Linked DNA regions of Mus musculus. Each later gene encodes a partner of the first gene's protein in a complex. Links are inferred from orthologs where the notes say so. Each region holds a gene or a part of one and is shown in the gene's direction. Other genes may lie near its edges. The genes, in order: Bcl2l1, Bad and Tpt1.

The links.
Region 2: the proteins of Bcl2l1 (region 1) and Bad are in contact, whole or in part, in a crystal structure (PDB 2BZW), measured with the Mus musculus proteins. Residues at the interface, in NP_001276645.1 of Mus musculus: Ala93, Glu96, Phe97, Arg100, Tyr101, Arg103, Ala104, Phe105, Leu108, Gln111, Leu112, Gln121, Ser122, Gln125, Val126, Glu129, Leu130, Arg132, Asp133, Asn136, Trp137, Gly138, Arg139, Val141, Ala142, Phe146, Asp193 (codon at 671), Leu194 (codon at 674), Tyr195 (codon at 677), Gly196 (codon at 680); in NP_031548.1 of Mus musculus: Ala137, Leu141, Ala143, Ala144, Gln145, Tyr147, Gly148, Arg149, Leu151, Arg152, Met154, Ser155, Asp156, Glu157, Phe158, Glu159, Phe162, Lys163.
Region 3: the proteins of Bcl2l1 (region 1) and Tpt1 are in contact, whole or in part, in a crystal structure (PDB 4Z9V), measured with the Homo sapiens proteins. The link is inferred for Mus musculus from reciprocal best matches to the Homo sapiens genes BCL2L1 and TPT1. Residues at the interface, in NP_001304848.1 of Homo sapiens: Ala93, Glu96, Phe97, Arg100, Tyr101, Ala104, Phe105, Leu108, Gln111, Ser122, Gln125, Val126, Glu129, Leu130, Asp133, Asn136, Gly138, Arg139, Val141, Ala142, Phe146, Leu194, Tyr195, Ala199, Ala200, Ser203; in NP_003286.1 of Homo sapiens: Phe14, Asp16, Ile17, Lys19, Ile20, Arg21, Ile23, Ala24, Asp25, Gly26, Leu27, Cys28, Leu29.

What each region holds. Positions count from the first base shown.
Region 1 is NC_000068.7:152,780,164-152,782,940, reverse strand, and holds the end of Bcl2l1 (bcl-2-like protein 1), read left to right. Parts: intron 1-658; coding exon 659-796; 3' UTR 797-2,277; downstream 2,278-2,777. UniProt on the Homo sapiens protein: Potent inhibitor of cell death. Inhibits activation of caspases. Appears to regulate cell death by blocking the voltage-dependent anion channel (VDAC) by binding to it and preventing the release of the caspase activator, CYC1, from the mitochondrial membrane.
Region 2 is NC_000085.6:6,948,955-6,952,594, forward strand, and holds the end of Bad (bcl2-associated agonist of cell death), read left to right. Parts: intron 1-1,685; coding exon 1,686-1,876; intron 1,877-2,444; coding exon 2,445-2,570; 3' UTR 2,571-2,951; downstream 2,952-3,640. UniProt on the Homo sapiens protein: Promotes cell death. Successfully competes for the binding to Bcl-X(L), Bcl-2 and Bcl-W, thereby affecting the level of heterodimerization of these proteins with BAX. Can reverse the death repressor activity of Bcl-X(L), but not that of Bcl-2.
Region 3 is NC_000080.6:75,844,018-75,848,263, forward strand, and holds the start of Tpt1 (translationally-controlled tumor protein), read left to right. Parts: upstream 1-1,238; 5' UTR 1,239-1,411; coding exon 1,412-1,439; intron 1,440-1,599; coding exon 1,600-1,673; intron 1,674-2,185; coding exon 2,186-2,376; intron 2,377-2,676; coding exon 2,677-2,782; intron 2,783-3,226; coding exon 3,227-3,343; intron 3,344-3,905; exon of another isoform or gene 3,906-4,017; intron 4,018-4,081; coding exon 4,082-4,084; 3' UTR 4,085-4,246. UniProt on the Homo sapiens protein: Involved in calcium binding and microtubule stabilization. Acts as a negative regulator of TSC22D1-mediated apoptosis, via interaction with and destabilization of TSC22D1 protein.

The sequences.
Region 1 (2,777 bases):
GCTGCCTGAGAAAGAGGCTTGCTGGCCTCAAGGCTATCGTGTCCACGTGCTGGCTGTCCCACTGAGTCATGTACTCTTCTGATGACTAAGCTTCGTGGCAGAGAGCATTCCTCCTTGGTTCAAGACTGACAGCCCTGGGGTGGGGACAGGAATGGCCTCTCTATGTCCACGTTAAATGTTCTGCTATGTTTCCCCCACCTACTAGCCAGCTCTGGCTGAGGCCCTCTTTACAGGGGGGAAGAATCTCCTGTCTGAACATCCCAAAACCACTAACTGAGTGCCCCAGTGAAACTGCTCTGAGAACCTCACCTCCCTGTAGTCTAGTAATGGACACCTGACAGTCGTCTTGGTGTCCACTCAGCCTCTAGTGCTATGTGATGACATCCTGTGTGCCACCTCCTGCATGCCCCTGTCTCCTAGTAGTCCCTGCTGGTGTTCGCTCCAAGCTGTCTGTTGCTTTTTAAGGCATAACACACTCTGCACCTGTGTTCTCAGCAGTAAGCCGGGTTGGTCTTCCCCAGCTGGGCTTCAGAAGGTCAGCCTTTAACCTTTTCTCTAACCATGGTGGGCACTAGTGCTGTGACATAGAGATGCCCCATTCTGCCCATTTTGCTCAAAGATTCACACAGTATCTATCTTTCCTTCTCTGTCCCTATAGGACACTTTTGTGGATCTCTACGGGAACAATGCAGCAGCCGAGAGCCGGAAAGGCCAGGAGCGCTTCAACCGCTGGTTCCTGACGGGCATGACTGTGGCTGGTGTGGTTCTGCTGGGCTCACTCTTCAGTCGGAAGTGACCAGACACTGACCGTCCACTCACCTCTCACCTCCCACCCTGCCCCCACCACAACTCTCTCTTCAGCCACCATTGCTACCAGGAGAACCACTACATGCAACTCACGCCCCTTGCCCTATCACAGGGTTGGGCCTAGACGGAGTCCCCTGCAATTAGCTTTCTAGGATCTACCACACTTCTGTGAAAGCCACCTTCCCCCCACATCTCAGTTCTCTTGGCCTCAAAACTCACAAGGTTTTCCCCTAAACCAGCTCCTTGGAGGCTGGCAGGAGCAGAGAGGGGTGTGTGAGGGAGGAGAGCCTGTCTTGTTGGTGGGACCCTAATTACCCCTGAGCCTCTCGGGAATGCTTTTCCAGCAGGGAGCTCTTCCCCTGAAGGAGACTAGCTTGCCTTGGTTTTGATGTGTGTGGCCTCAGACGTGATCATTTCCCATCCCGCTGTGTCTCTGGGTCTCCCTCCTCCCCATCTCCACCCCCCAAGAGCCATTGAGTGAGGTGCTTTTAGCCCTTTTGACTAATTAGAAATTCAGGCTGCTTGGGATAATGAGACAAGGACCAGAACCTCCTCCCCACCTGTGGCCTGGCCAAAACCCCCACTTGTGGTCTGAATGTTCTCCTGAGGCCTCTGGCTAGAGTCTAGCCCCACCCAGGGGGAGGGGCTTAGCTGCTGAAAGTCCACCTTGCTAGAGCTAGGGTGGCTCTTGCAGCTTAGCACCCCCCAAGATCCTTGTCCACCCCTCCCCTGGCTCCCATGACCATGACTGAGGGACCAATGGGCCCAAGATAGGTGCCCCAGAGCTGTTAATGACTTCAGCTGCCTCACTTCCTGCAAGATTGGCCTGTGGCATCTTTGCCTTGGGTGTTGGCCACAGGGTCAAGGGACTCTGGCCTCAGCCCAGAAGTGAGGGGAAGCTATACAGAGCAGCTGTGGGAACCCCAGGGGCTTCCCTACCTCAGGCAGGAAGGGCAGGAAGAAGAGCCTGGAGCCCAGGCGAGGGGGACGGCAAGGGCCTGTCTTTGTGCTCTGCCCCACCTAGCCTGGGCAGCAGGGCTGCCAAGGTCAGAATGGCCTGGCTAGGAGCCCTTCAGGCCTCTCTCTCCTCTGTCCACCCTTGGCCTGTCTCATCCCTGTGGGTCCCAGCTCAGCTCTGGCCACCCCGGGCTCTCTGCTGTACATATTCGAGACTAGTTTTTATTCCTTGTGAAGATGATATACTATTTTTGTTAAGCGTGTCTGTATTTATGTGTGAGGAGCTGCTGGCTTGCTGTGCGCGTGCCCGTGGAGAGCTGGTGCCCAGAGACTGACAGCCTGATGCTCCCTCCCTGCCCTTGCCTGGGGAAGCCCACCAGGGGTTCTGGCTTCTGAGGGGCACCTGTCCCTCCTCTCCCCTCACCCTACACTTGTTCCAGCTCTTTGAAATAGTTTGTGTGAAGGTGAAAGTGCAGTTCAGTAATAAATGGTGTCTGTGACTCTGTGAACCACAGCCTTGGCTCTGCGCCGCATGAGTAAGGGGGAAACTGCTGGGCTCTGGCTCTGCTGCCTGGGATGGGGTGGCTCACCAAGTTCCTTCAGCCCCAGACTTCTTTCTGGTCTCCACATTTCTGTACACTACTGGGAGAAGTGGTGTTAATTGAACATGCTAAGAGCTGACATTCTGGTGAGCCCAACAGTCACAGTTGTTGGACAAGAGTTTCCTGAGTCCTGTTGTAGCATAGGTCTACCATTTTAAGACTAGCGGAGAAGATAGGTGTAGTCTGTGGTGCTGGTTGGCTTAGGGCTTTCATGAGAAATCCAGTATCTTCTGGCAAGACGTGATGACAGACTTGAGGGTAAACTGACCAAATCTGAGGTAACGTTATTAAGATAGGTCTCAAGAGTTTCACATGAATTAGAGATGGTTCTAGAGAAAAGATGACGCTTAGGGCTGGAGCAGTGGCTCAGAGGTTGAATGTTTGCTGCACAGACCTGAGGACCAGAATTTA
Region 2 (3,640 bases), on another chromosome or scaffold:
CTTTTTCCCTTTCCATGGATTCCACGGCCCCACTCAGCTCATCTGGCTGTACTGAGTGCTCCTCCACTGGCTGAGCAATCTCACCAGCCCTTGTTTTGCTTCTTCATGAAGGAGGGGAGGCTGAGCTCAAACCAAGGCCACCTGGAAGACATTCGCCTTGCCACCACCAGTTCAGCACACAAACGCCTTGATTCCAGGGCTCAGGTTCATTACTCGGTGCTGATGGGCTGCACCAGCACAAGGCAGGCATGTTCCTTTCGGTGTCAGACTTCTATGTAAGATGGGAGAACTCCACATCTGCCACACAGGAGCCAAGAAACCAATGGATGCTCAAAGGACAGGGTGGAGTGGTGACTATGAGACAGGCTGTCCCTGTGCCACAGACAAAGACTGAGGTGACAAGGAACTGGGGAAATGGGTCCAAGATCACAAAAGGGAGCCCACCCAGCTACTGAGTCTAGTGAAAGCACTCTGTAGGTGAGCAATGATATTGGGTCCTGGCCAGATGCTTGGAGCAGACCTGGCCACGTCTTTCATAAGGGTCCCCCCCCTTATCTCTGCTTTTTGTCCCGTGTCTGCAGCTGGGATCCTACAGCTGAGCTGCAGAGTCTTGACAGCTGACCTTTGAGAGAGGGAAGCAAATTTATCAACCCCTGAACATGTGGGTGATTTTACCTCCTCCCAAGCCTGCAGATACCTGGGTGTGGGCAGCAGGCTGTGCTTAGCTCTGGACTCTGCCCCTAGGAGTGGTTCTGGGTCTTCACTGGTCTGGACAGAGGGGTACAGATGGCAGACGTCAGGATGGCACATAATACCCAGACCAGAGGAGATCACCCACAATGCTCTTGCTGCTCACAGGACATGTCTACACACCGATGCGACCTTCACACAGGTGGGGTGCGTTAGTATGTAGGCGAGGTGAGACTGTCCCTTCATGAAGAGAACCTCAGTAAAAGTGAAGGGTGGCTGGGCAAGGCAAGAGCTGCACAGCCTGATAGGCTCTGGGTTCCAAACCCAGGGACTTCGGGCCTCAGGCCTTTAACAACCATGTTAACCTGAGGAAATGTGACCTCTCTGACCACCTGTGTAGCTATTGTGTGCATGTGTCTTCGTAGGTCAGTGTCCCCCATCCCACCCCACACTTTTTTTTGTGAGGCAAAAGACAAGTTCTCCTGTAGTCTAGGCTGACCTTAAACCTCTGGTTTGGACCTCACCAGTTCTGGGATTATAAATATAAACCACCACACCCAGCTCAAGCCACCATGCTGTGTCTGTTGAACCAGGTGGTGGGGAGGATACTTTAGCACGTACATACTCCAGTCTCAGAAAAATAAAACGGATGAGTGATGACAGTTCTTGACACTGTCTCACAAGGAAGGCACAATAGGGGACGCAGACCATTGTTTTCCAAGACCCCTGCAAAGACACAGCAAGACACCTCTCTATGTAAGGGTTGCTATGAGACCATGTGATAGTTATAGCTTATGTCCGTATTTTATGAAAGACACTGTAAACTTTTTGTACACTAAAGACTTCATTACATGCACTGTACTAGGATTTGTGGAAGTTAACCGATTTCTCACAAAAGCCCTCCGAGTTCTCTGCATTCACAAAGGAGGGACTAAGGCTGTGGAACAGATAACAGGCCAGAGAGTCACACCTCTTCCACTCCCTGACCTCTGCAGGCGCAGGGGCTATGGAGACTCGGAGTCGCCACAGTTCGTACCCAGCGGGGACCGAGGAGGATGAAGGGATGGAGGAGGAGCTTAGCCCTTTTCGAGGACGCTCGCGTTCGGCTCCCCCCAATCTCTGGGCAGCGCAGCGCTACGGCCGTGAGCTCCGAAGGATGAGCGATGAGTTTGAGGGTTCCTTCAAGGTGAGCGCCAGCGTTAGGTGCGATGGGACCTGAACCCTCAGCTGCTACCCCTCCTTTGATCTAGGGCATGTCGGGATTTCTAGTTTCAGAGCCACCAATTTTCCCTTTTGTGTTGTAGAGCATGCTGGGACTTGCAGTTCTAATCCGTCCTCTCTCAGTGTCCAGTGATTTGCTGGGATTTCCTCCCTCTTCCTCCTTTGTCCAAGACCCCGTCCCCAGTCCCGGTTTATGCCTTCACCTGTAATCGAGAGCTCTTACAGCCGGACCGCTATGAGAACCGAAATCTGTAGTACAGACCAACTTCACACCAAAGTTTCTGAACCGCCAGGTTCATAGAGTACGAGGCTTGCTGGCATCTGAGCCTCTCCCCAACTTCTTAAGCTACTTTAAATTGTTGAGTTCTTCCCCATCCTCTAAACACTAGATCTCTGGCTGTGCAGTTTCATTTAGGATCCCGGCACACGCATCATCCCGTGTCTCTGACCGCCCAGTGCAGAGCAAGCTGGTGGTGGGGACCTGATTCGGGATGCCAGAATGAGGCTCACTCTTTCCTCCTCCTTCCCTGAAGGGACTTCCTCGCCCAAAGAGCGCAGGCACTGCAACACAGATGCGACAAAGCGCCGGCTGGACGCGCATTATCCAGTCCTGGTGGGATCGAAACTTGGGCAAAGGAGGCTCCACCCCCTCCCAGTGATCTTCTGCTCCACATCCCGGAACTCTACCCGCTCCCGTCGCCCGCCATATTGGGTGTGGGCGGAAGTCTTTCGAGGCCTTAGGAAAAAAAAAGAGGATCGCTGTGTCCCTTTAACAGGGAGAAGAGCTGACGTACAGCTTGAGTCCCTTCCGGTGCGTGCAATAGCCACGGAGGGGTGGCTCCTGTTTGGAGTTTCAAAGTTTTCCACGCACCCCACCCCCTAAGCCTCCGGAAGTGGCTGTTTTCCCTCTCCTGTTCTGGACTGCCCTCGGGTGCCTGTGCTAAGTTGGGGGTCTGGGTGCTGTCCTGTCATAACTGGGGACCCGAGGTCGCGAGAAACGTGCTTTATAATAAAGCCTGCGCATGTGCCGCCGCGCCTCTATCCTTCGTTTGGGGTTCCGCAATCCGGATCTCTATCCCTGATAGTTTTAAGAGAGACTCGTTTTACCGGAGGAAGAAACAAGCTCTAAGGACTGAGAGGAAGAAGAGGCAACCCGCGGAGTCGGGCTGCTTGGCTTGGGTGGGGAAGAGGAGCGTGGCTAGACCCTTGGGACTGCCAGCCCCTTATCTCTAATATGGTAATTGGGAGCCGCAGTCCAACCGGCCGCCGGAATTTAGCGTTCTGCAAACCATGTCGCGGCTCCCGGGGGGCAGGCGGGAGGGGGGTCATTTGCTCCTATTTGGGTCAGTCCTTGTGAGCAGCTACTGTTTGACCGGCCTGGGGCCAGCGCAGCTCAGGGACCTGGCAAGACACGTGGGGCGGGGCGGCGCGGGGCGGCAGACTGATCGCTAGGGAACGTAGAAGCTTCTCACAGGGACCTGGAGCAGGGCCCAGAGCTCCGTTCAGAGATTTATTGGCGCCCCATAGCCCAGGCTAGTGCTTTGCGCTGGATATGCAGATAAGTTGCGCCACAACTCTTTGCTTCCCGGAACATGGGAGGGGGTGGCCCCACAACAGGGCCTCAAGGAGTAGGTCAGACTTGAAGGTGAGGCTATGTCTGGAACTGACACTCTCTGCAGATGGACACACCAGGATCTTGGGACTTAGTTTGTTTTTTGAGGGCCCAACC
Region 3 (4,246 bases), on another chromosome or scaffold:
AATGATGTTAAAAAAATACATTTGGGCATAAAACTGGAGAAAATAACAGAAAAATCCAAAAAGAATATGTTTGGGGATCTATGTAAATGAGCATTTTTGAATAATTTGAAAATGAATACCTGGGATGTGCAAATAAGATTCACATAACTCAGAAATAACTGAGTTTTGAGACTGCTAAGTCATAGCCCCTCGGTTCTATGTCTACGTTTTCTGATGTCCTTCACTTTTTTACTGTTACCCCGTGTCCTTTAGAGTATCTAGGAAAGCAGCAGACCACCGCATCTTAAGTGGACGGTTTTTCTTCTGCTCTTTGGCTAGAGTTTTATTCCTGAATGGTTTACTCTGTGCTTGTAACACTTTGTTAGTGTGAACTGCCTTCTCCTTTGACATACTAACCTAACCTTCTGTCCGAGGGCAGGCAGGGCTGGCTATGTCCTTCTTAAGCGAGAAAATTGCAACACTAGGGTTACAACGGACTATAACCAAATCTGGAAGGGAAGAAACTGTGATTTCATCCTGCCATACATGTTTACCTGAACGGTGGGTCTCGGAAGTTGTATGTTGTACTTCGTGGTGGATGCGAAAGCCCTTCAAGTGACCCGGGCAAGTGGGAAGCTCCTTATTTTGGGTCTGTTTAGTCCTGCATCGCCAGGAATAAAAGGGATAAAAGTGACAATACAGAACTGTCCTAACAAAGGACACCGTTTGCGACCAAGAGCAGAACAGGCCAGCGAAGAGCTGTCCGGCCAGACCCACCGCAGGCTTTCACTTTCGGAACCCACTAGAGGACCAGTCCCCAGGACATCTCCCTCCGCGAGCAAAACCGGTGCAGTCTGTGGGCAGCCAAGGACCGGAGGTCGGAGACCCGGGACACCAGCCCGGCGCCATCCCCGTAGTCCCCGCAGGCTCAGCGGCGCGCCCGACAACAGTCATCCGATTCTGCTGACATTTTCTTTCCGAGAAAGGGGTGGGAACTGAAGCGGCGTGGCGGGAGGCGGGGCGCAGTCACACCCTGGCCACGCCCGGGCGGCGACTCAAGCGTCCGGCCATCGGTCGGCCGCAAGTCCCTTCCCGTCCCAGCATGCCCCGGGCGCACTATCCGCACACCGCCCCCGTTGCCCCGCGCACCCAGGGGCACTCCGCATTGTGTCCCAGCAGAGTCCCCGGATGCCCTCCCGGGGCCGGCCGGGCGTAGCCACGCCCCCGCACCGCCCTGCGTTCACGTCACCGCTGACGACAGTTCCGGGGGAGCCGCGGACGGTGACGTAGCCGAGCGTGCCCTCTATATGAGGTTGGGGAGCGCCCGCGTCGGCCTTTTCCGCCCGCTCCCCCCTCCCCCCGCGCGCCGCTCCGGCTGCACCGCGCTCGCTTCCGCGCTGTCAGGCTAGCGCCGCCGTCCCCAGCCGTCACCATGATCATCTACCGGGACCTCATCAGCCGTAAGTCCCGGCGCCCGCGGGCCTGGGTGCGGGTGGGCACCGGGGAGGCCGGGGACACGAGCGCAGAGCTTGGGCCGGGAGCCGCCGCGTGCGCCGAGCCCGGCGCGGGAAATGGCGGGCCTTCGCTCGCTCACGGGCGGCTCTCTCTGTTCGCTTTCAGATGACGAGCTGTTCTCCGACATCTACAAGATCCGGGAGATCGCGGACGGGCTGTGCCTGGAGGTGGAGGGCAAGGTGAGCGGGGCGCCGCGCGCGGGGAGGCTGGCCGCCTGCCTGCCGGGTCGGCCGAGCCGGGCCGGGCTGGGCTGGGCGCCGCGGGGAGGCCGCTGGAACTCGTGCAATCCTCGCTGCCGCCTCCAGGCGGAGGAGACGCTCTTGCGGACCTTGGGTTTTTCTAGAAAAGTGGAGGCGGAGCCGAGCCTGGAAATAGGTCCGCGAACTCAGCGCCATCCTCTTTCCGGGCGAACGGGGACATATTGTCTATAAGACAGGTTTGCGCTGTGCGCGCTTAACCCGTGGCGACTCGAGAGAGGCCACAGCAACTTGGTTCCGCTTGATGAGAGTGACCACCTCTCTCAGTCCGGGCAGCGACTATTTGGGGGGAGGTTAAGATGTTTCAGGGAGCTGACTGATCGTTGCCGGACCTTTTTTTTTTTTTCTCTTTTTTTCTTTTTTTTTTTTTTTTTTTGCCCCTTCGACTAAGTTGTATTGTCTTTTTGTTTTGTTTTGTTTTCTTCTAAATGTAGATGGTCAGTAGAACAGAGGGTGCCATCGATGACTCGCTCATCGGTGGAAATGCTTCCGCTGAAGGTCCGGAGGGCGAAGGTACCGAAAGCACAGTAGTCACCGGTGTTGACATTGTCATGAACCATCACTTACAAGAAACCAGCTTCACAAAAGAGGCTTACAAAAAGTACATCAAAGACTACATGAAATCGTAAGTGACATAAACACCCCGTTTTGGTGGTCAGCTTCCTAGAAGAAGTTGGTTGCTTAGGTAGGAAGGGCTTAAGAAAGGAGGGTCTTTTGTTATACAGTGAAGGTTGATTTTCAATAATGTGAGCAAGCCGGTAGAAAGTTACTTTAAAGGTAATATAGGAATTACATTCTTTTAAATGGTTTCTTGTCACCTAGTAAACTATCATTTTGCTAGAAGACATTACCTATTGGAGCTTATATTCTTACTTTACTGAAAGATTATTCAGTATTTTGATGACCTGTTACTTTACTGTTTTAGACTCAAAGGCAAACTTGAAGAGCAGAAACCAGAAAGAGTAAAGCCTTTTATGACTGGAGCTGCAGAGCAGATTAAGCACATCCTTGCTAATTTCAATAACTACCAGGTAAATGGACCAAAGGGTTGTATAATAACTGTGGGATCCGAAAAAGTCTGTTTGCTGTCTCGTACATGGCTCTGGCTGTCCTGGAACACCCTTAGACCCAGTTACCTCAGCCTTCTGAGATGAAAGTCTCAGCCCATTTTGTGTAGCACCACACCAGGCAAGGAGCTGGTATTAAAATGATAGGCATTGCTTTCTTTTCATTGAGACTGTTATCTGTAGACCAGACTAGCCTTGAACCCAGAGGTCTACCTGCCAGTGCCTCTTAATTGCTGGGATTAAAGGTGTGTGCCAACATGGCTAGCATATGTGTTATTTTTGAGAACTAGGGGTTTTTCTTGCCAAATTTTGGCCAGGGGTTATTCTGGATCTGCTTTTTATAGTTTGATTTTATATTTGTGTGTATAAGATAGTCTAATTGTAGGTTTTTGTTACGTGTTTCTTAAGTTTTTTATTGGTGAAAACATGAATCCAGATGGTATGGTTGCTCTCCTGGACTACCGTGAAGATGGTGTGACTCCATTCATGATTTTCTTTAAGGATGGCTTAGAGATGGAGAAATGTGTAAGTATCTTTAAATTAGTAGTGTCAAGACAGGGAGTGCAGCAGTGATTCTTTGCCATCTGCAGGTGGCAGGCCTTGTAGATTGTGAGATCTTTATCCTGTGGGAGAGTAGAGCCTTGAACATGAAAGGGGCTTGAAGATGAGATTAGCTGGCTTGCTAGAGTGCTCAGGGTCATGTGTGTAAGTAGTTTGACACTGGCCTGGGATAAACTCACGTAGAATGAGTGTGGTCTCTGCCCCACGGTAGTTCAAGTCCATTTCATATTACATGCAATAGGATGTTTCAGTGTTTACTGAGGTCAGTAAGAAGGAATACAGAAATGTCTGTTTTATAAGGGACTGGTGGAGACAGTGTTCCTTGTCCTAGATTTTGGAGGCTTTTTTTGTAAGCACAGTAGAAGGTGAGTTTAGAGATGTACTGGAGAAAGTGGGTGACCGCCTGGGACAGTGGGGTAGGAGTGTTATTCAGACAACAGCTGGTGTTTGTCAGTAGAGCACTGGAGTGGGCAGGAAGATGGGTGAGTGCTGCCAACTCGGTGAGGGTCTGCATCCACTGATAGACCTCGAACAGTTTGTGGTTGTTCTTCTGGTTTGCACTAGGATGCAAAAGGAAACTCTCCCTGCGCTTCCTGCCTGCCTTTGTGGCAGTTCAGATTGAATTAGGGAGTACATCTACATGCTAGGACAGTTATAAGCTCAGGCTGGGGCAGTTGTTAATGCCATCTCTTTGTTTTGCAGTAACAAATTGGATCTATCACCTGTCACCATAATTGGCTGCTGCTTACCATCCATACAACACCAGGACTTAGGACAAATGGGACTGATGTCATCTTGAGCTTTTATTTTGACCGTGATTTATTTGGAGTGGTGGCATTGTTTTTTTAAGGAAAAAAAACATGTCAT